3 linked regions of the Coturnix japonica genome follow. The main gene of each other region encodes a partner of the protein of the gene in region 2 in a complex. Links are inferred from orthologs where the notes say so. Each region holds a gene or a part of one and is shown on either strand. Other genes may lie near its edges. The genes, in order: SPTSSA, SPTLC2 and ORMDL3.

Region 1 (6,101 bases), about 3.1 Mb from region 2:
CCCCTGCTCTACACATCTCGTTTCCTAGTCTTCAGAATCATCATTGTGTCTTTCCTTTTTGGACAGCGGTAGAAGTCTTGTTAAAACTAAGAGGTTCGTTCTTCTTTGTCGACCAGATTTCAGAGCACGATAACTTCTTGAACATACACTCTTCATCACTGCACAATCTCAAAGTAGTGCAATATCGCCATGATGTGCTGAGGCATGAACACATAGCCCGTGTACAGTGCCATTCCAACAATGGAAACTAGCATTGAATCTGAACGACAGGTAAGGAAGAAAGCATTTGAAACCAGAAGTACATTACAAGTCATATAAGCACAGCACTACCATTTTTCCTATCTCATAACATTATATTTGTAAATCTTAAGTACTAACTGTATTCAACAGTTACAGCTGTAGGAAGAAGCAACAGAACACTGAAAAACAGAGCATGGGTAGGGGTGATAAAGTGAATTACAGCAGGATGCTTTGTAAGATATCCACTGCCTTGTCATAGACACAACAGTACAGACGGAAGCGTGGGAAGGAAGAAGGGACTGAAAATGGGCACTGGGGATATATGAATTACGCATACATCCTCCAAGGTCTTAAGCAATACCTGCAGTAGCCAGCACAATCAGTCAGGCAGAAAAGTCAACCATCAGGAAAAAAAAAAAGGAGAGGCAAAAACAGAAGGATTATATGAGTACCTGTACTGAGTAAGAGCTGATATTTGTGCACAGCTTACTCACTATTAAGCAGAAAGCATTAAATGTTGGTATCAACTTACCAGAACAGAATGACATAATACATTTAATGTATCGTTCACAAAACATCTGGCATGAAAGTTGTACTGCAAACATAAAGCCAGGAAAACAGTGTTCTCTAGGCTTTAAGTCACTACATTATTTGGTTTGCTGCTCTATCAGCTCAGACCTTTTATCACAGGCAAGGAGCTACATTAAAGTGTTGACAGCACTTAGGAAAAAAAATAGGCTGCAAGGGTAATGAAAAATATGGGCAACATTGTGACACACAGCTTTCCAGACATTTCAGTCCCAATGCCTCATAGGATCAGCATGATTGGAATAAATCTGTGCGTGTAAATAAATATATGCTTGCTGGTATTTTACTATGGCAGAGCTGCAAAACAAATCTCACATGAAGCCATCTGCTAAGCAATGACCCCTTCATTCAGCTGAACTCCAAATGGAAAGTCAGAGAAGTCAGATGGCTTACAATGTAAACATACAACTAGACCTTTGTCATACTCCAGGATTCTCAAGGCTTTATCTAACAGAAACTATAACATCAGACTACTCAAAGATTAGGCCACTCAAAGTTTAAGACTTTAGAAATTCAAGAGCTGTACTCTCAACAATAACCTGCAGAGATTCAGAAACACTATATAGAGCTCTGAAGATTAACAAGCACGATAACACTGATAACAGTACTCAGGTTTCCACAGGTGAAATCAGAGGAGCCGTGCATGCTCTGTAACTTAGAGAAAAGTAACCAGAGCATGTGTGCAACAAGGGCTCTGTAACTGACTTCCCCAAGAGGTAGATGTGGTGCTTATTAGAGCATGCCAGCTTCTGGGTGTATTTTTAGTCCCAGAAGATTGCACAATGCAAGACACTAAAATGAAGGTCAATGCTACATCTACGTTCCAGTATCAGTGTTCCCTACACTTCTTGAATACAATAAGCTGGAAATACACACAGCAAGTCTCTGGACTGCCAGCTCCAAGGCCATGTGCCTGTGTGGTCCAGTGTGGTCCAGGCACCACAGTGCCTGGCAGACTTGGCCCACCAGCAGTGACAGCATTCCCTCTGAGGACAGGGACAGTTCTGCTCATCTGATGCTGCAAACAATATATTGGGATACTCAGGACACTATTTTAAGTGGAGCAACGATCACTTCACTGCAAAACAAGCACTTTATAAACATGCACACACATCTGTCAACTACTTAAATGCCTTGTCCAAGTTAAGAAGCTGTCCAGTTAATATGAAAGGAAAATACATATATTTGTTTATAACTGATCTAGTTGTAAGGAAAGCAAAAATGGAGTGTTTTCAGTGATACAGACACAGCATAAACAGATTTGGGTGTTCTAATCAGAAACAGAGTACTCTGAAACTAAAAACCGCTGCCTCAATAGCTGAGCACTGTGCATCTGTAAGAATGAGAAAGCCAAAAAATAGTAATGACTCCACTTTTACCAAGTGTACATTAGAAAACTCTCTGCAACCTGTAACCAGCTACAACCTGGGAAACCACTCTTATATAATGAGTTCCTTTACAACTAACCAGGAAAAGCAGCTTTTCACCATTAAACCCTTCTTGATGGGTGCAAGCAGTGTTAATGTTTTGGCTGGTTTGTCTCTGTGCCTCTCAGCATAAACTGGAGATGGCTCAGGGTCGTTCATGAGACATCATTTTAACTCAAGATCAAACCAGCCACGCTCGCAAAGAACACCACTGGTAATAAATAACAGCCCTTAGGACACCGCAGTGCCAGTCTGACAGAGCTGGTTGAGGAAGCTTGCCTACAAGTAGTCTGCATACAGAAGCCTCACATTAGCATCTATCCAGTTCTTCCACTCCAGAAGAGACAAACAAATTCACCGGCTCAAGGATTAAATGCTCTTCTAACAAACAGCGTGTGACACAGCGCAGCCCAAACCAAAGCTCCCCAGCACACACATTTACTTTCCACGAGACGACAAAACAGAATTAACTCAAGAGCTGTGCTGAGCAGAAACCATGGTGCTCCAGCTGAAGAGTCAGGGGGGAAAAATAACTACCGCAATTCTACGGGAGAGAAAAGAATAAGAAAAAGATAATAATGATAAAAGAAAGGCTGAGGAGAAAGCACGGCAGGATGTAAACTTGGCCCCGGGCAGAGGCGGTCGGACCGTGCAGATGCCCGTGACAGAAGGCACGCGCCGGCACTAAGGCTCTCCCTGACTCCGGCCCCGCTCCGCCCGTACCGGCTGCAGCCCCGCCAGCCCCGCACACCGCTCCCAGCTCCCCGCCGCCCTCGGTACAGCCCCGGGACACCGTCCACATCCCACCCGGCCCCAGAGCTACCCGCCCGACAGGCCACGCGCCGCCGGCAGAAGGATACTGAAGACGGTGCGCTCCCAGGGCTCCAGCACGTAGCTACAGGTGATCAGCAAGTACTGGTAGTACAGCCACGACATCTGCTTCCAGGCCGAGCCCAGCGCCATGGCGCGCACCGCGCTCTCCCCACCCGCCGCCGGCCCCGAGCCGCCTGCGCCGGGCCCAGGCCGAGCGGAGACGGGGGCGGTGGCTGCCCGGGACCCGCCTCCCTCCGCCGTCGCTGCCGACTGGCCCCACCGCGCGAGGCCCGGCCCCGGGCTGCGGCCTCCCGAAATGGAGGCGCTGCGAGGCGGGCGGGGCGCGGGTCGGGTCGGCAGCGCCCCGGAGCGGACGGAGTTGGGAGCGGACACTGAACGCCGAGGCTGCCCCGCACGGCCCCTGGAAGCGGGGCGGAGGGAGCGGACACTCGGCTCCGTCTCCTCTCCGTCCTCACAGCGCGTGTACGGTACTGACAGTCAGTCCTGGAGTCGGTTACAATGGCCGTGAGGCTGCCTGTATTCCCGTACAAAACAGTCTCTGCGGATCGCAGAAGAAGCTCGCTTCACATACTACAAAACCCAGCCACTCTCAGTCCCCGTAGCAGAACGCGTTGATTTTCCCCTACAGAATAAATCAGCTGTATGCGCGAGCCTGATCCTGCTTAGATCACATCACATCACACGATTGTCCGTCACCATGTGAGCAGATCTGAGTCATATCTGGAAGACTGCTGCACCCAATTTTCTCCCATCCTGTTTCATTTAAATGGACATACTGGGTATTAGAGATCACCTGAAGATTGCGTTCAACGTGATTCATCATATGTGTTAAAGGGTTCTGCAGGCGGCTTCAGTACCTTTAGTATTCAGGGCAAAGCCCACCCAAAACCACTGCTCAGGTAAATGTGCAGTCTTTCAACATGGACTGACTAGATCAGTCCCACAGGAACAGCGGAAGAGGCAAAAAGATCAACTTTTTACCATAATGGCTGCTAACTTTGCCCTTCTGAGAGGTGTTTGGGGCCAGATGCTTCAGTGTTAGAAACTTGTAACTGCTATTTTGACTTTTGGCAGCTTACGTGGACAACTGAGTTTCAAATGCAGTAGTTAGAACACAAACCCAGTGAAAAGCAACACGTGGGGAAGTCAAGCATCGCGATTAAGTACAAGGTACAACCAACCCCTGTGTGCTGGAGCCAGGCCACCAGGAAAGGCCTCATGCACATGCTAGGTGTGCACCACAGATGAGAAACTGCTGTCAGCCCTCTGCCATCATCCTGCTCAGTAAAACAGCTTTACGTTATGTCAGTTCTAGTGCAACCCTAGTCTTGCAGCTGCCCCACACCTAATTTAACCAGTGCTGTTAGCACAGTGGAAAGCAAGGAAATACAGTCACAGCAGGGTGCTCATATTAATTATTTACAGAGCTGTGAATTGCACCTACAGCACCAGGAGATAACTGTGCAAAAGAAAACTAGCTGGCAGAGACAACCAAACACTGTCGTAATTTATGTGGAAAGATCTGATACGGGTTTTAATCCAGCTAGAATACATTCAGACATAATATATCTAGATCAATTTATTTCAGCACAAGAAGAAACGAGCGTATTTATACGATTCAATACCCCCACATAGCTGGCTACAGCAGCTGTTGCCCCTACCCAAGACAGCTGTTGCTTGTTGTAATTGACACTGGAGGAGTCTTGTGTTGTTGACACTGCTTGAAAGATCTGCAGCCATGATGAAAACTACTTTTCTAAATAAGCACATGAAGTCCAAGGACAGGTGGGGTTTTTAGCACATCTAAAGCACTACAGCCTTGCACAGCTGCAAGAGCAGTATCGATATGAAGCAAACATCTCCCAGTCTCTCCTGCTCCCATGTCTCATGAAAACAGGAACTGCAATTCGGGCGAGCAAGAAGCAGCAGCAAGCACTTGAGATAAGAAGAAAGGTAATGTGGAAGCATGCCAGCTTCACCATTTCCTGCCACATCCACCAGCTGTTTGTCCAGGTCCTTACACCGTTTCAATTTGGTGCATACTCAGAAGGCAGCTTTTGCTAGTTAGCCCCTTAATAAATGGACACTATTCCTCCGTATAGTGAGTGTCTCATTCTTCACTATCTTCATCTTACTCCTGCTTAAGAATTGCCATCAACAATTGCTCCTCCTGCTACCACCTGCACTGACTTTTGAGCCCCTGAACAACATCCTCATTCTCCTGTTTTCAGCAGCTCAGTGCAACAATCTTACCCTGACACTAAATAGCTTTCATGCATCACCTGGACTGTGAAGACAGTTTGCACTGAGGCCAGTATGCCCTACAGCAGAGTACAGCCTCCATTACATCTGCTCCTCCACAGTGTTACTAAGCAAAATTTTCCCTATATGCCTCCAGGCTTAAAGCATGTAGTAATAGTCTATCCCACTTCAGATGGCATCATTTCTGCCAATGTGCCAGTCAGACCATAGGTAGTAAAAATGATATAGAAATCTTGTCTTAAGCCCAAAATCCTCACTGAGAGCTACCAAGTTTAACAGTTCCATTGAATAGAATAGTTTCCATTCCATAGAAACAACCAATGCAGCTAAGGGGAACCAGCTGATACAGTATTTATTCTAAGCAGTAGTTTTAATACACACTGAGGTACTGGACAGTACATACACAGGGAATGATCATAATACACAGATTTTACACTGTATTTACAAAACATTAAATCCTTGACAACGCGACCACCTGACAGTGTAGAAGAATATCGCTCTCAAATGCAAGCAGTTAACAGGATTCCCTTCATAAAAAAGGAATACAGGAATAGTGTCAGAAATCCAACCACTATAAAGCTATCTGATAGAAATGTACATTTAAGAGAACATATTTTAAAAAGATGGATGTGCCTGCACTTCTGATACTTCACACAGTCTTAAACAGAGCCCTTTTTTTTCCTGCTTTTGCATATTAGCTGTGGCTGGCTAGAACATTGAAGAAGTGAAACACTTCATCTTTATCCATCA
Region 2 (6,001 bases):
TTTTCTGTTGTTTTGTTTTTTTAGCTTCTCCTCTCTCTATTTACAAAATGCCATTTAGAATTGATGTGGCCACTTCAGTATTGTGAGGAAATGTCTTTTACACTAAGCAGTCATAAGTGTGTTGTTCACAGACTGTGGCCTGCATGCCACAGAGTGTCCCATCGGGTGTGTCCCTCCCACCAAGGCATACGGAGTGCTCAGTCTTCTGTTTCTTCATATGTAGTCTCATCAAATGGCCGGTCCAAGAGAGGTACCAAACGGTGACGGGAATATTTCAGTTGCAAAAGGTCCCCAACTTCATTGATTTCTTTTAAAGCCTGAGAAAGAGACCACAGTGTATCAGCAGGGGAAACAGATGCAAGGAAGCTATCAGCACATCTTCCTTTTTACATGCCCACAGAAAAAGTGGAAATTAACCAGACTAGGATTATGTAGCTTCAGGTATACACAACATTTTTGTTTGTTGTTTTAATATTTGTCAGCCTCCAGACCAAGCGAGTGGCACAAGTAATTTCACCAAGAGTGACTGCACATACCTGACTATTCCAACTCCAAAGCACGAATATAGCAGCCAGCAATACTACCCTTATTTTCACTGTCAGCCCAATTAAAGCCATGCCTGTCCATACAACAGATCAATTGAGAAAAGCATTCCACTCTTTTTGGGACAGAGGGTGTGGGGGGGAAGGGGTTAATATAGCTGAAACAAGAAAATGTACTTGGAGGTTTGATGCACCTTTTTTTACAGTATGAAAATACTGTATGTGTTGGTACTACTGAAATACCATACCTTTTTATATTACAAGACAGTGGAAAAAAACCCTATTTTATGCTAGCAGCTTTTCCTGATGCATTTTAAAATATCTGTATTTGATTAGATTGAGTTGCCCAAGTACAACTAGAGATGGAATAAGCATTGTACACAATGGTTTTTGTCAAGGAATGAAAAGCCATTCTGGTAGGATCCTAAGCATTTTTCTCCACCTGGAAAGAAGCTCTCTCTAACTGTGGCCATAGAGGAACACCTAGCCTACTGGTGGTCATGAGCACTGATAACGAGCTCGCAAAACCTTTCATCGTATGATCCGAATGCTAATTATATGAAGTTCTCTAGAAATCAAGCACCTGCTAGCATAAGAAATGAGGAAAGTCCCTGCTCAGATAATCATGCAATCTCTTTGATAAGACGCTGGCTCACAGTAGAATCTGTTAGAAGTCAGACCTTAAGCTTCTACCTCTCTGGAGACCACCCCTGGAACAAGGTGCTAAAAATAAGCCAGTTGCTGCAGACAAATGTGCAACAGTATGTCATGCTAATTATCTATCTCATCCATGGTGAGTGACAAATATACATATAGAAGACGACTTTCAACTTAAGTGAGATTTTTGAACTCCAAGGTTGGCAGTCTGCACTCCCTTACATTTCAGATTTGTTCAGATAGAAACTTTCAGCATTCCTTCAGATTGCCACTAATTCAACAACAACACTCCAGTTTTAACATGTTCTGGGTCAAATGCCTGTCTCTTGAGAATAGCTGGCAGATGGAGGCTAATATCCCTACATGCTTTTCCTTCCTGAAAGAACAGTCCAAGTTCCTACTTCTTTAAACAACAGCCCCTCATGCTTGTTATATCTGGCAGCAAGAACCTCTCCATTCTAAAATCTGGGGGAATGACAAGACCAGAAGTTGGACCTCAATAAAAACAAAACCAAACAAGAGCGTGGGCACAGTTTGCCAGAGCTTAAAGTAAAGACCCCATATGGAAACAATTTAAGGTTAATTTCTGTTGAAAGAGTCTGTTAACTGTTATTCTTGAATGCAGATTTAGGATTTTATTAATTTAAAACAAAAAGAACCATGTGACTAACAAAGACTACAAAGGAAATGGCATTGGTGAACTCCAATTTCAAGAGAGTGTGATACATATTTTTCATCACTAAGAAGAAAGCACCAACCCACAGGGATGCAGGTTATGAGGGACCACACTCTGATCCTGAGCCAAATATTCTCAGGCAAGGAAGTTTTATTTACATAAAATGGTTAAAATTGTAACTGAGAACTGTTCCCCATCACATGATTTTATTTAATAAGAACAAGGAAGCATTACAAATATCAGTATTCATAAGACAAACTTCCCCATGCTCTGTACTCAGATTAATTTTGTTTACAAAAAATGCCATAACAGCATTGGTTAGTATCCATGCACACACGGAATGGCTACCAAGTTCTCTGTACCACTGACTTGTGGAAACTGTGCCAGCTCTCTCCACTTCTGCTCACTTCATTTTTTTTTCCTCTTGGATATTGTTGCCACAGTTCAGCAGGGGGAACCGATCTGACCGTTGTCTTAATTACTGGCTGCCTGAAACTGATTCTGTTTCACTGTGTCAGCAGAAAAGCAGAACACAGTCACTGACACAAAGACTCGCTACTTATTAACTCCACTTGCCAGTGTTCTGGGTTCAGGGCATGCAGTCACTTCAAACTTTAAAGCAGTTTATGCCAACTTGGAACAAAGCCTTCACATTCCAAGCGAAAAATCAACATTTCTTCATTCACTTCAAAATTCATACACTTTGTCCTGGATTAATTTTCTTAGGCAGACAAACCCTAGTGTATTAAACAAGCATTTCTCTTGGTTTGGAGCCTTTAGCATCTAGAGATATACTCTAGAAGTGAGTCAGTCCTCAGAGCTAAACACACAAAACTTTCAGGTAGTTCTACTGATACAGAGCTGCACCTGATATACATACCAAACGGTGCACATAACTGCCACACTACCCTTCCTAGCAAACATGAAATCAAGAAGGGTCATTTCCTGCTACTGATGTAGAAATTGTGTGGAAACTAAGGATTAAAGGCTTAAAACTACATTTTTGTTGTTGCTGTTGATATGCTGGTAAGCGTTTGCTTAAACTACAACTCCTATTTGCTGTTCACGTTACAAAGCGTCTCCACCTGATCATACCTGGGCACAATTTCTCCTTCATAATTCTACAATAACTACTCCCAACCACCTTCTTGTCTGTAACTAGCTTAGAAATAGTTTCAAGGAATGATTCTTCTTCATCATCCTCCCAAGGATCAAGGTGAGGTTGTCCAGCCTGCAGTTCCCCTGATCATGCTCTTGTCCTTCCTTGAGCACCTCTTTCAATCAACCATGATCTTTCACAGAGCTAATTGAGAATGTCACTATGTTCCTATTTAACAAGGGAAAAAAACAGTGTCTTAAGGGAACAAAACCACCCCACTTGCATATCTGAAATGGGAAAAAGCCCCTGGAATTTACTGAAGACGACTGTTCTGATTTGTTGGAGATGGCATCCACACTACTACAGACAACTCTGAACATTAGGTTTAATTAATTTGCATACCAAGCACTGAACCATTCTAAAAAAAACAACAAAAAACCCACAAAAGAACCCATAAAAACTAGAATTATCTCTGCTTACAGAAGACACAAGCTAGAAAGAGATGAGACACTTACCGTATCAAGCATCTCTTTGGTATGAGCTGCAGACAAACAGAACCTGGCTCTGGACTCAATGATGGGAGTTGCAGGGAAGCCCACAACCACAACACCAATGTTCCGCTTCAGCATCTCACGCCCAAACGCACTGCCAAAAAAAAAAACCCAACATCAAAAACATTATCCAGGAAAACTGGTCAGAATCATACCTGTAGAGAAAGAGCAGTGACAGCACAAAGGTCTTAGTATGTTTACCTATACACGCCTTTGTTAAACAAGCCTGTAACACCACAAGTTGGAGCTTCCAGTTCTTTCTCATGGAGGCAGAACGTTTAATTACAAAGGCTCCCTTTAATTCAACCCCAAGGTGGTCTTCCTCAAAAGCTCTCACTGTATTAAGTTCTAGCAAAGCTGAAAGATTATATGTGGCAGAGGCTGGTCTTTTGGCAAGCTCTTTCTAAATGGATTTGTAACCTAAGCTTGAAAATCCTTCTGATAGGAAACAGGAACTAAGGCTCAGAAGTTTGACTCAATGAGGAATGCCCCCTGCTGTAACATCCCAAAGCAAATGTTTCTGCTATTTCAAAATTGTTTATTTCTACCAATTAAATTCAATTGAGGCACATTACAGAGCCACAGGATGTACCACTTTTTTAAGTGCTTATCAAGGGAACATTCAAATGCAAAAAACAAAAACAAAAAACAAAAAAAACAAATCTCATCTAACGCCAAAATTTTTTAAGAAAGATGCAAAAATCTCTTTGTATGTGAATAAGAACAAGCTTTGCCACTACACACCATGTTTCAAAACAAAAATCTTCCTTTACATTTAGAGAAGTCTTAGTATTCTTATAGCATACTAACTTTAAAGTAGATGGACCTACCCAATTTTTGCTGGCATGTACAGCATCAGAGGCACAACAGGGGAATCTTCATTTCCATAGATGATAAAGCCCATCTCTTTCAGTCGTCTCCTGAAATACCTTGTGTTCTCTGCTAACTGCTGAACACACTCTCTCCCTAGAAGAGAAATTAAGACAATAGACACAATGGTCATAAACCACACATGTAACTGCAGCAGTAGATCTCTTCTCACTTAGGTACAAACCAAAAATGTGCAACTTGTGCTAACAGAACAATTAAAATGCAAACTAGAATTCAGTTTCTTCTTTCTCTTTTAATCAAGATTAATCAAGACTAATTACTCACTTTCTGATAAGGCTGCTGCTGGACGGAGAAGGACAAGCTTAACTGTCAAATCCACCCCCCCTAATTTTTCAATATCTGAATTTATAATCAAGAGATACAAAGCTGGCAAAACAGTACAGTAGGCTGCTTTTAAACAAGCTGCAAAATTTGCTCAAAATTAATTGACACCCGTATGTTACAGAATGGTTTGCTTGCAGTTTGAATAGCTAATAAATATCAGTCAGCTGAAGCTTCTCACCATATATTTTTCCTGCCTGTCTGTATTGATGGAATTACCACGTTCCTCTCAGATTTGCCAGCTGAACTGATCAAGCAGCTGTTCCATAACCTTTCTCACCAAAAGCGAGCTGGGCTTAAATTAAACAGATTACCTCTGATAATCCAGCTCATTATGCACAAACAGCAGCAGCCCATTTATCATGTGATCAGCCAATTCCGAACTCATTCTTTGGACATTCGGTAAAATACATACACAAGACATTAGACCACAAGTAAAATCCAAATATTCCAGCTACTCAGATATGCATGGAACAACCTGTTTATCAGCTGAATTCTAACCCAGCACAATGTAGCAGTTGACAATAATGCATTTCTGATTAACAAGTATTCCAACGTGCTTAAGAGATTAAACACTATGCCACTGACGAGACAACAACTGATCATCCAGACACCACCTTCACCAAATGAGTAATTCATATACTTTAGCACTAAATCTACAGCAGTGCTGATGTATGCCACGGTGAAGTTGGCTGCTAGATATTAATAGCTCCCCTTTAAAGCAGCAGATAACATAAGCTGATTACTCAAAAGGAACACCAACCCTCAAAGAAACATTCACACCCACATAGCTATGCTCCAAGCCAGAACAAATGTAGTTTTAAGAACCTATACAGTTTTTGTAGCCAAGAGTATCAGACATTCCACCCACCACCACGCAATCAAAGGCAAAATCCCATCAAAGAAGTGTAAGAAAAAGGAATGAAACCTGTTAAGTTTGCAGAACTCGGTCTGTCATTTGTGGGCAGGAGCTGGTATTTTTAGTTGTACTTGCTGCCATTTAAGACCATCCTTTCTCCTCCATTAACAGCTTGCTTCCTTAATCTTTTATCCCCAAGAGTTTCTAGAGAAGCTTAATTTTTCTTCTTCACCCCAAACCAGCAAGACTTCATTAAAATGCATTTTGTGTATGAAGCTTACTTTATAACTGGCTCACATTAGATCAGACCCTCTAGCTGAGATTAAGCCTATGTTTCCTGAACTTATGACTTGGTTATTCAAATACCCCAGCTTGCAAAGTGAGGTTTAAGAAACCCAACAAAAC
Region 3 (6,101 bases), on a different chromosome or scaffold from region 2:
TCCCAGCACTGACCTCCAGCTCCAATCCTGCCCCCCTGCCAGGCTGCTTTGTACCCAGAGCTGACAGCCACTAACCCAACAACCTGCAGATCCAGAGGCTCTTTCCTCCTAAACACAAACCTATTCCAGACCTGAAGCTCCCTGAGTGGCAGTAGAGACATGGGAGCATCCATCAGCTCAGCAGTGAGCATCCCAGAGCTGCACACGTGCTGTGTGAGTGAGCAGCAGGCAGGCTCAGAGCACAGCAGCTGCTGAAACAAACCAGGCCCAGCACTTAGAAAGGGAACTCGGAGTAGCTGGCAGGAACATCCAGAGCATAATGTCAGATCTGGCGTGGACTCGCCTCCTGAGACCAAGAGCTGGACAGAACAGCAGCTTGCTTTGGTTTTCAGCTGTGGAAAGCAAAGCAGCAAAAGCACGAGGCTGAACATCAGGGAGAAGTCATTGCTTTGGGATCTGCTGTGCAAGGGACAGGCTGTATTATTTCCTTGGGAAACAGGCTGAGTGTTTTATGCAAGACCTTCCCTGATCTCTGTGCAAAGATATCCTGCATTACAGCAGCTCTTTCCTGTAATCCCTGATCATTGGTAAGACAGCTCTCAGCTCCCCAGTAAGCTGTGAAACATGGATGAAAACAGTGACCTGAGCACGGACCTGCCTCTGGTTTTGTTTCAGAGGGGTGAAAACAAGAGCCAATATGAACGTGGGAACAGCACACAGCGAGGTGAACCCCAACACCCGCGTGATGAACAGCCGGGGCATCTGGCTGTCCTACATCCTTGGCATTGGGCTGCTGCACGTCGTGCTCCTGAGCATCCCCTTCTTCAGCGTCCCCGTGGTTTGGACTCTTACCAACATCATTCACAACATGGTAAGCCAACCCCAGCTCAAAGAGGCAAAATACTTTGGAGCTGTGGCCATCAATTTCGTGTCCTTTATGTTAACATCTGAGAGCATTGCAGTGGTGAATCCATCCTTGGGATTGCTTGTCTTATCTCCAGTGATATAAAAATACATGAACACATAAACCCAGAGCTATGACTGCTGGGGGCTGAGTGCAGCACAGCCGCCTGCATTTCACCCAGCTCCTTGCCCTGCTCAACCTTTGGCCTTGGGAACAGAGGGGAGCTGAGGGCAGCGAGGGCTGTGTGTTAAAGACATGTCTGAGCCCAACATTGCTTATCTATAAGACAGCAACGCATCCTTTCTGCCTTTTAGACAGCACTGAGCATTGCTGCTGCACAGTGCAATAATCCCGAGTGCTGTAATCTCACAGCTCCCTTTGCTTACAGCCCAGACAGGCGTTGCTCTTAGCAGCCAAGGCAGAGCCAGCTCAGCTTCCTGTGGCTGCTTTGGGTTCACAGCGCTGGTGATGCATCCCTCTAGCGGAGCAAAGTGCTGCTGCAATCTTACACAGCCCCTCATTACTCTGCTCCCCTGTCTGAAGCTGAACCATTGCTGGGGGGGGGGGCTGTAACACCACTCACATCTCACCCTGCATTTGTGTTCTCTGCAGAGCATGTACATCTTCCTACACACGGTGAAAGGAACCCCTTTTGAGACGCCAGACCAGGGCAAGGCGAGGCTGCTCACGCACTGGGAGCAGATTGACTATGGCGTGCAGTTCACAGCATCCCGCAAGTTCCTGACCATCATGCCCATCGTGCTGTGAGTGCTGCAGGGGAGCAAAGCAAGCGGGAGGCAGAGCACACGGCGTGCTGTCATTCAGTGTCTCTTTGCATTCTCTCTTTCTCTGCAGGTATTTTCTAACCAGCTTTTACACCAAGTACGACCGGATACACTTCGTCATCAACACCATCTCCCTGATGAGCGTCCTGATCCCCAAACTGCCTCAGTTCCATGGAGTGCGGATCTTTGGGATCAACAAGTACTGAAGCAGATGGAGGAGCAGTGGAGCTCATGGAGGTTCCTCCTCCCTGCTCCCGTCCCCCCCCTGCCCACACACACTGGGATAGTTTCACAGCAGCTGTTTTAAACGCAGTACCCAATAGACATACACCGCATGCTGGATCCTCATGCCCAATAAACCTAAAGAAGCTCCAGAGTAGAGTTTAGCCAGGAGCAGGATGCTGGGCTTCTTTTATTCCAGCATCATCATTAGATGCAGATACACCGAGACTCCAAGGTACAACGAGGATGAATCGTGGGAAGGTTTTCATCTATCCCAGATGCGATGAGAACAGGGGTGAGGGGGAAAGCTTTTAGTGCTGGTACTATTGCTGTGGTAAATGCACTTTAACATTACTTCCCTTTCTGAAGCTTTGGTGCTTTAAAGCGATCCGCGGGGAAATGGAAAGGGACGCAGCCAAACTCTCCCATTATTTGATGGTTTCGGGTTTTGGTTCCATTTCTTGGGCAGAGGAAGAGAAGGGAGGGGAACAGAATGACACAGTTTGATGTCGAAAGCTTTTATGGCACCGAGGAAGGAAGCTGTTCTACTCAAAGCAGTAGAGGAAAGAAGAAACAGGCTGCGCTTTGAGACGACTGTCTGCTCCCTTCGGAACCATCCATCTGGGTCAGGGGAAGGTCCCAACTTGCAGCTGTTACTTCCAGCTTGGGTAACTTTGCCTCCCAACCCAAACTGCTCAGCTTGGGGATGAAGGGCTGAGGTGCAGCTCATTATAACGACTGAGGTGCCTGGGAGGAACCAAAGACTGATGGATTCAGACCATGTGAGAGCTGAACGGCTGCTTGAGAGCTGGGTGGCAGCGATTTGAGTTCTCCTCCTCCATCCATCCCCTCGGTCTCCTCAGCCCACGTAGCTGTTAATGAGATCTGCCAGCTCTCCAATGAACTCGGCATGAAAACCTCCACGAAGCACCGCAGACCCCCAGGGCTGATGGCTGCCAATGGGGAGGGAGCAGAGCAGCACCGAGGAGCAGCACCAGCAGCACTGACCTGCCCCAGAGAAGGGTGCTCAGGTCACCAAAGACAACAGATGGTTTTGTATAGGAATAAACTCAAGCCTTCATCCCCCTCCAACCACCGCTGGAACAAGGGAGGGTTGTGGGGCTGCAGGTTTGGGTTTCCTGGCTGAGATGCTTTTTTCTTGCAGGTTTTGTGCTGGATGAAATGTGGTTTTGCTGATGCTTTCCCTTCCACCAGCCTGCATTCTTTTGTTGTTGTCTCAGTGCTTACGTTGTCTCACGTTGGCAATGGTGAAGGCATTTTAAATGTGCTGGGTTTGTTCTTAATTAGCCAAGTCTGGCTTGAGAAGTCAAAGTGGATATTGAGTTCTGTATGAGGGTCTGGGCATAGGGCATAGAGAAGCTCCAAGATCTACTATATAAGATCTGGTAGTACTCCATGCATAGTATTAGGCTTTATTTCTATCCCGTACTTAGCAGGCTGCTGCAGTGAAGGGAGAAAACAGTTAACGTAGCTCAGAGCCATGCTGGGATGCATGGGGTCATTATTTAACAGTTGTTGAGCAATGGGAATGTTTTAAGTGCAAAGGAAGCCTTGAAGAAGGTGGAAGAAGAGCCGGGTTGGGATTTGAGCGCTGATCTCCAGTGAGAGTTTGGCAGAAGTTTGGGGTACCCGACAGGGTGGGGGTTAAACCACCACGACACAAGTGCTGCTGCTTGAGTTACGGTACTACAGACCCTAAAGCTGACGAACTCTTTAAGCTACCAGACAATGACTTTGGGGGGGGGGGGGAATACTTCATTTTCTTTCTTTTTTCTTCATAACAAACCTATTTTGTTCATCAGTGCTTTGGAAATTAGGAAGGGATGAACAGCACCAGGGCCTGGGATGCTCACGGACACAGGGCAGCCCAGCAGGTCTGAATGTCTGACAGCACATGAACCCATACCCCAGTGGTAAACCTCCAGGAGAAGAGACACTACTCCTTTAGGCATGATATGAAAGGGGGAAATAAAAGCTTTCTTGCAGCAAAAGTAGTTGTTATATTGAGGGTGCTTTGGCTTTTAACCTCGACTCCCATCCATAGGATGTATTGAGTGTACAAGTTACCCCAGCTCAGAGCAGTTTTGGGGCTCAGCTCAGTGTTGCTGCTGGGGTTTGGAGCCTGCATTATTTGTGCTGTTGGCTGACACGACGGACACCTGATTCTGTTCTGCTCCATGAAAGAGCATCAATAAAACAACATGGACTGGAATTACAGACTTCTGGCAAAGGCAGGTTTTCAAGCCCTGAGTCCAGAAGTTCTCATGGGACAAAGCCTTCATTATGATGGTAAACTTTCCCCACTTTGTTTAGCTGGAGTGGTTAACATAGAATTACACAGGTGTCCCCATTGGGGTTACATGGCAGATAGTACTGGCCCTTGATAAAGTGGGCAGCAGTTGTGTTACCATGATGGATGCATTGCTGTTTCTTACTGGGACTTCCATGTCTCTACCATTGAGTGGCATATATTTTAAGCATGCAGGCCTTTGCATTGCCTCGTCCTCCTTGGATCAATCTCAGCTCCATTAGTTTGGTGGGGCTGGTTTTGTTTGAACACAACGTTCTGCCATCGGACGGAGTTTTAGGGTTTGGGTTTGCTTTGTTGGTTTCTTTCTTCCAGCAGCCCTTCCTTTTTGCTGTGGATGCTGAAGTCTCGTGTAGGGAACTTTCTAAAACAAAGTGTGAATATTTTTATTACTCCTTTGTAAAGCCTTCTAAGAGAAACTAATAAAGTGAGTATTCATGTAATAACCAGCCTTCAGCTCCTTGCATTCCCACATGGGCACTTCTGCTCATTGATGCTCACTGTGGCCGCAGCCCAACCAGGATGTGGCAGAGCTGGAACCTCATGGACTGCAGAGCTGGAGGGGCCAGAAGGGACCCCCCCAGTCCAACTCCAACCCCCAGCTGAGCATCACAGAATTGCTCAGGTTGCAAAAGACCTCCAAGGTCATCAAATCCAACCACAACCCAACCGTGCTACGTTAACCAGCACGCCCTGCTCCTCATCCCTGCATAACTGCCAAACAACCACAACAGAAGCAAAGTCCTACAGCCCAGGAACAAGGTACACAGGGATCGAGTGCAAAGTGCCCACAGCTGCTGGAACAGCACGACAGCAGAAGTGACGGCGAGAAAAGTTCAGGGCTGGGGTTATATCAGTTCTTCTTTCCTTATCGGGCAGGCAGTTCCGGGCTGGCAGGAGGCTCACATAGCAAAGCCAGTAAGTACAGGAGGCAGTGCAAGCATTGCAAGCACTGCAGGCATTGCAAGCACTGCAAGCATTGCAAGCATTGCAAGCATTGCAAGCACTGCAGGCACCGCAACCAGCTGGTCCCACTCCTGCAGCACAGAGCCCCACATCCCCCCACAGGCTCCAGGTAAGAGCTGCCCCACGGATGGGGGGAGGGCTGCCCCACTCTGCCACCCCACTCTTCTCTCCCACTGTCCAAAGTCCCTCCCCAGCTCCTCCTGGGACTTGAGAACTTTGAGACTTAAGGCTGAGTGCTCCCACAGCCCAAAGTCCCCCATTATCTGAATCAGAGCTGGAGCACAGACCCACGGTTCCCCTCTCCACCCATTCCCTTCTCTTCTCTCCTTCCTCCCCCATTTTGTCTTTCTTTCTCCTCATAAAGTTAAGCAACCGAGGTTTATTTCAACTTCCTATAAAGTCACAGTTTATCCTCACAGCTCTGACAGACAGAACTTTGAGAGTGCCAATACTTTTACAGTCAGCTTTAATGAGAACCGGTTACGTCTGCATTTGGATCCGAGTGTCCTTAATGGAACCAAGAGGGTTTGTGAATCCGGTCACCCTCCCCGGGCAGGACGTGACAATGTGCTCCTTTAGGGAGGGAGGAGAGCAAACTGTTGGTGTTGAATGGGATCCATTCCTTCAGAGCACGACACAGTGAGGCAGCAGCACACAGAAGGCACAGCACAGCACAGCACAGCACAGCACAGCACAGCACAGCACAGCACATCTTCCTCCTTAGTTAAAGGAAGCTGCTTTGCTCGTAAATCAAAGCTTATCTCACTTCTACTGACGTGTCACTGAAGGCCAATAAGCAGAACCAAAGTTCTACTTGGAGAACTAATAATGCAACAGCAGTTCCCATCCGCCCCATAGGGATGCAGGGAGAGGAGTGGGGATGTTGGGGTCTGGG

What was found.
Region 1: the proteins of SPTLC2 (region 2) and SPTSSA are in contact, whole or in part, in a cryo-EM structure (PDB 7K0K), measured with the Homo sapiens proteins. The link is inferred for Coturnix japonica from reciprocal best matches to the Homo sapiens genes SPTLC2 and SPTSSA. Residues at the interface, in NP_004854.1 of Homo sapiens: Leu73, Gly77, Val80, Leu81, Phe84, Leu87, Arg88, Leu91, Leu126, Arg129, Ile130, Tyr156, Met475, Pro476, Ala477, Lys478, Gly480, Ala481, Arg484, Glu485, Asp533, Leu534, Leu535, Gln536; in NP_612145.2 of Homo sapiens: Trp15, Tyr18, Gln19, Leu21, Leu22, Val23, Thr24, Ala25, Tyr27, Met28, Leu29, Glu30, Pro31, Trp32, Glu33, Val36, Phe37.
Region 3: the proteins of SPTLC2 (region 2) and ORMDL3 are in contact, whole or in part, in a cryo-EM structure (PDB 7K0O), measured with the Homo sapiens proteins. The link is inferred for Coturnix japonica from reciprocal best matches to the Homo sapiens genes SPTLC2 and ORMDL3. Residues at the interface, in NP_004854.1 of Homo sapiens: Glu65, Thr66, Pro67, Met68, Ala71, Val72, Tyr75, Tyr86, Gln116, Phe118, Glu119, Asn120, Phe121, Tyr122, Tyr127, Trp134, Asp259, Glu260, Leu261, Asn262, Val267, Arg271, Ile279, Met320, Val495, Val496, Gly497, Phe498, Pro499, Ala500; in NP_001307730.1 of Homo sapiens: Met1, Asn2, Val3, Gly4, Thr5, Ala6, His7, Ser8, Pro12, Val16, Ser19, Arg20, Gly21, Ile22, Leu24, Ser25, Leu28, Phe63, Val67, Lys68, Gly69, Thr70, Pro71, Phe72, Glu73, Pro75, Gln77, Arg81.

The regions. Positions count from the first base shown.
Region 1 is NC_029520.1:32,507,857-32,513,957, forward strand, and holds the start of SPTSSA (serine palmitoyltransferase small subunit A), read right to left. Parts: upstream 3,443-6,101; 5' UTR 3,219-3,442; coding exon 3,116-3,218; intron 260-3,115; coding exon 156-259; 3' UTR 1-155. Other genes in the region: EAPP (E2F-associated phosphoprotein), read right to left, coding at 6,046-6,101. UniProt on the Homo sapiens protein: Component of the serine palmitoyltransferase multisubunit enzyme (SPT) that catalyzes the initial and rate-limiting step in sphingolipid biosynthesis by condensing L-serine and activated acyl-CoA (most commonly palmitoyl-CoA) to form long-chain bases.
Region 2 is NC_029520.1:35,609,325-35,615,325, forward strand, and holds part of SPTLC2 (serine palmitoyltransferase 2), read right to left. Parts: intron 4,492-6,001; coding exon 4,356-4,491; intron 3,620-4,355; coding exon 3,490-3,619; intron 318-3,489; coding exon 198-317; 3' UTR 1-197. UniProt on the Homo sapiens protein: Component of the serine palmitoyltransferase multisubunit enzyme (SPT) that catalyzes the initial and rate-limiting step in sphingolipid biosynthesis by condensing L-serine and activated acyl-CoA (most commonly palmitoyl-CoA) to form long-chain bases.
Region 3 is NC_029542.1:3,980,160-3,986,260, forward strand, and holds the end of ORMDL3 (ORM1-like protein 3), read left to right. Parts: intron 1-675; coding exon 676-871; intron 872-1,516; coding exon 1,517-1,668; intron 1,669-1,759; coding exon 1,760-1,895; 3' UTR 1,896-4,683; downstream 4,684-6,101. UniProt on the Homo sapiens protein: Plays an essential role in the homeostatic regulation of sphingolipid de novo biosynthesis by modulating the activity of the serine palmitoyltransferase (SPT) in response to ceramide levels.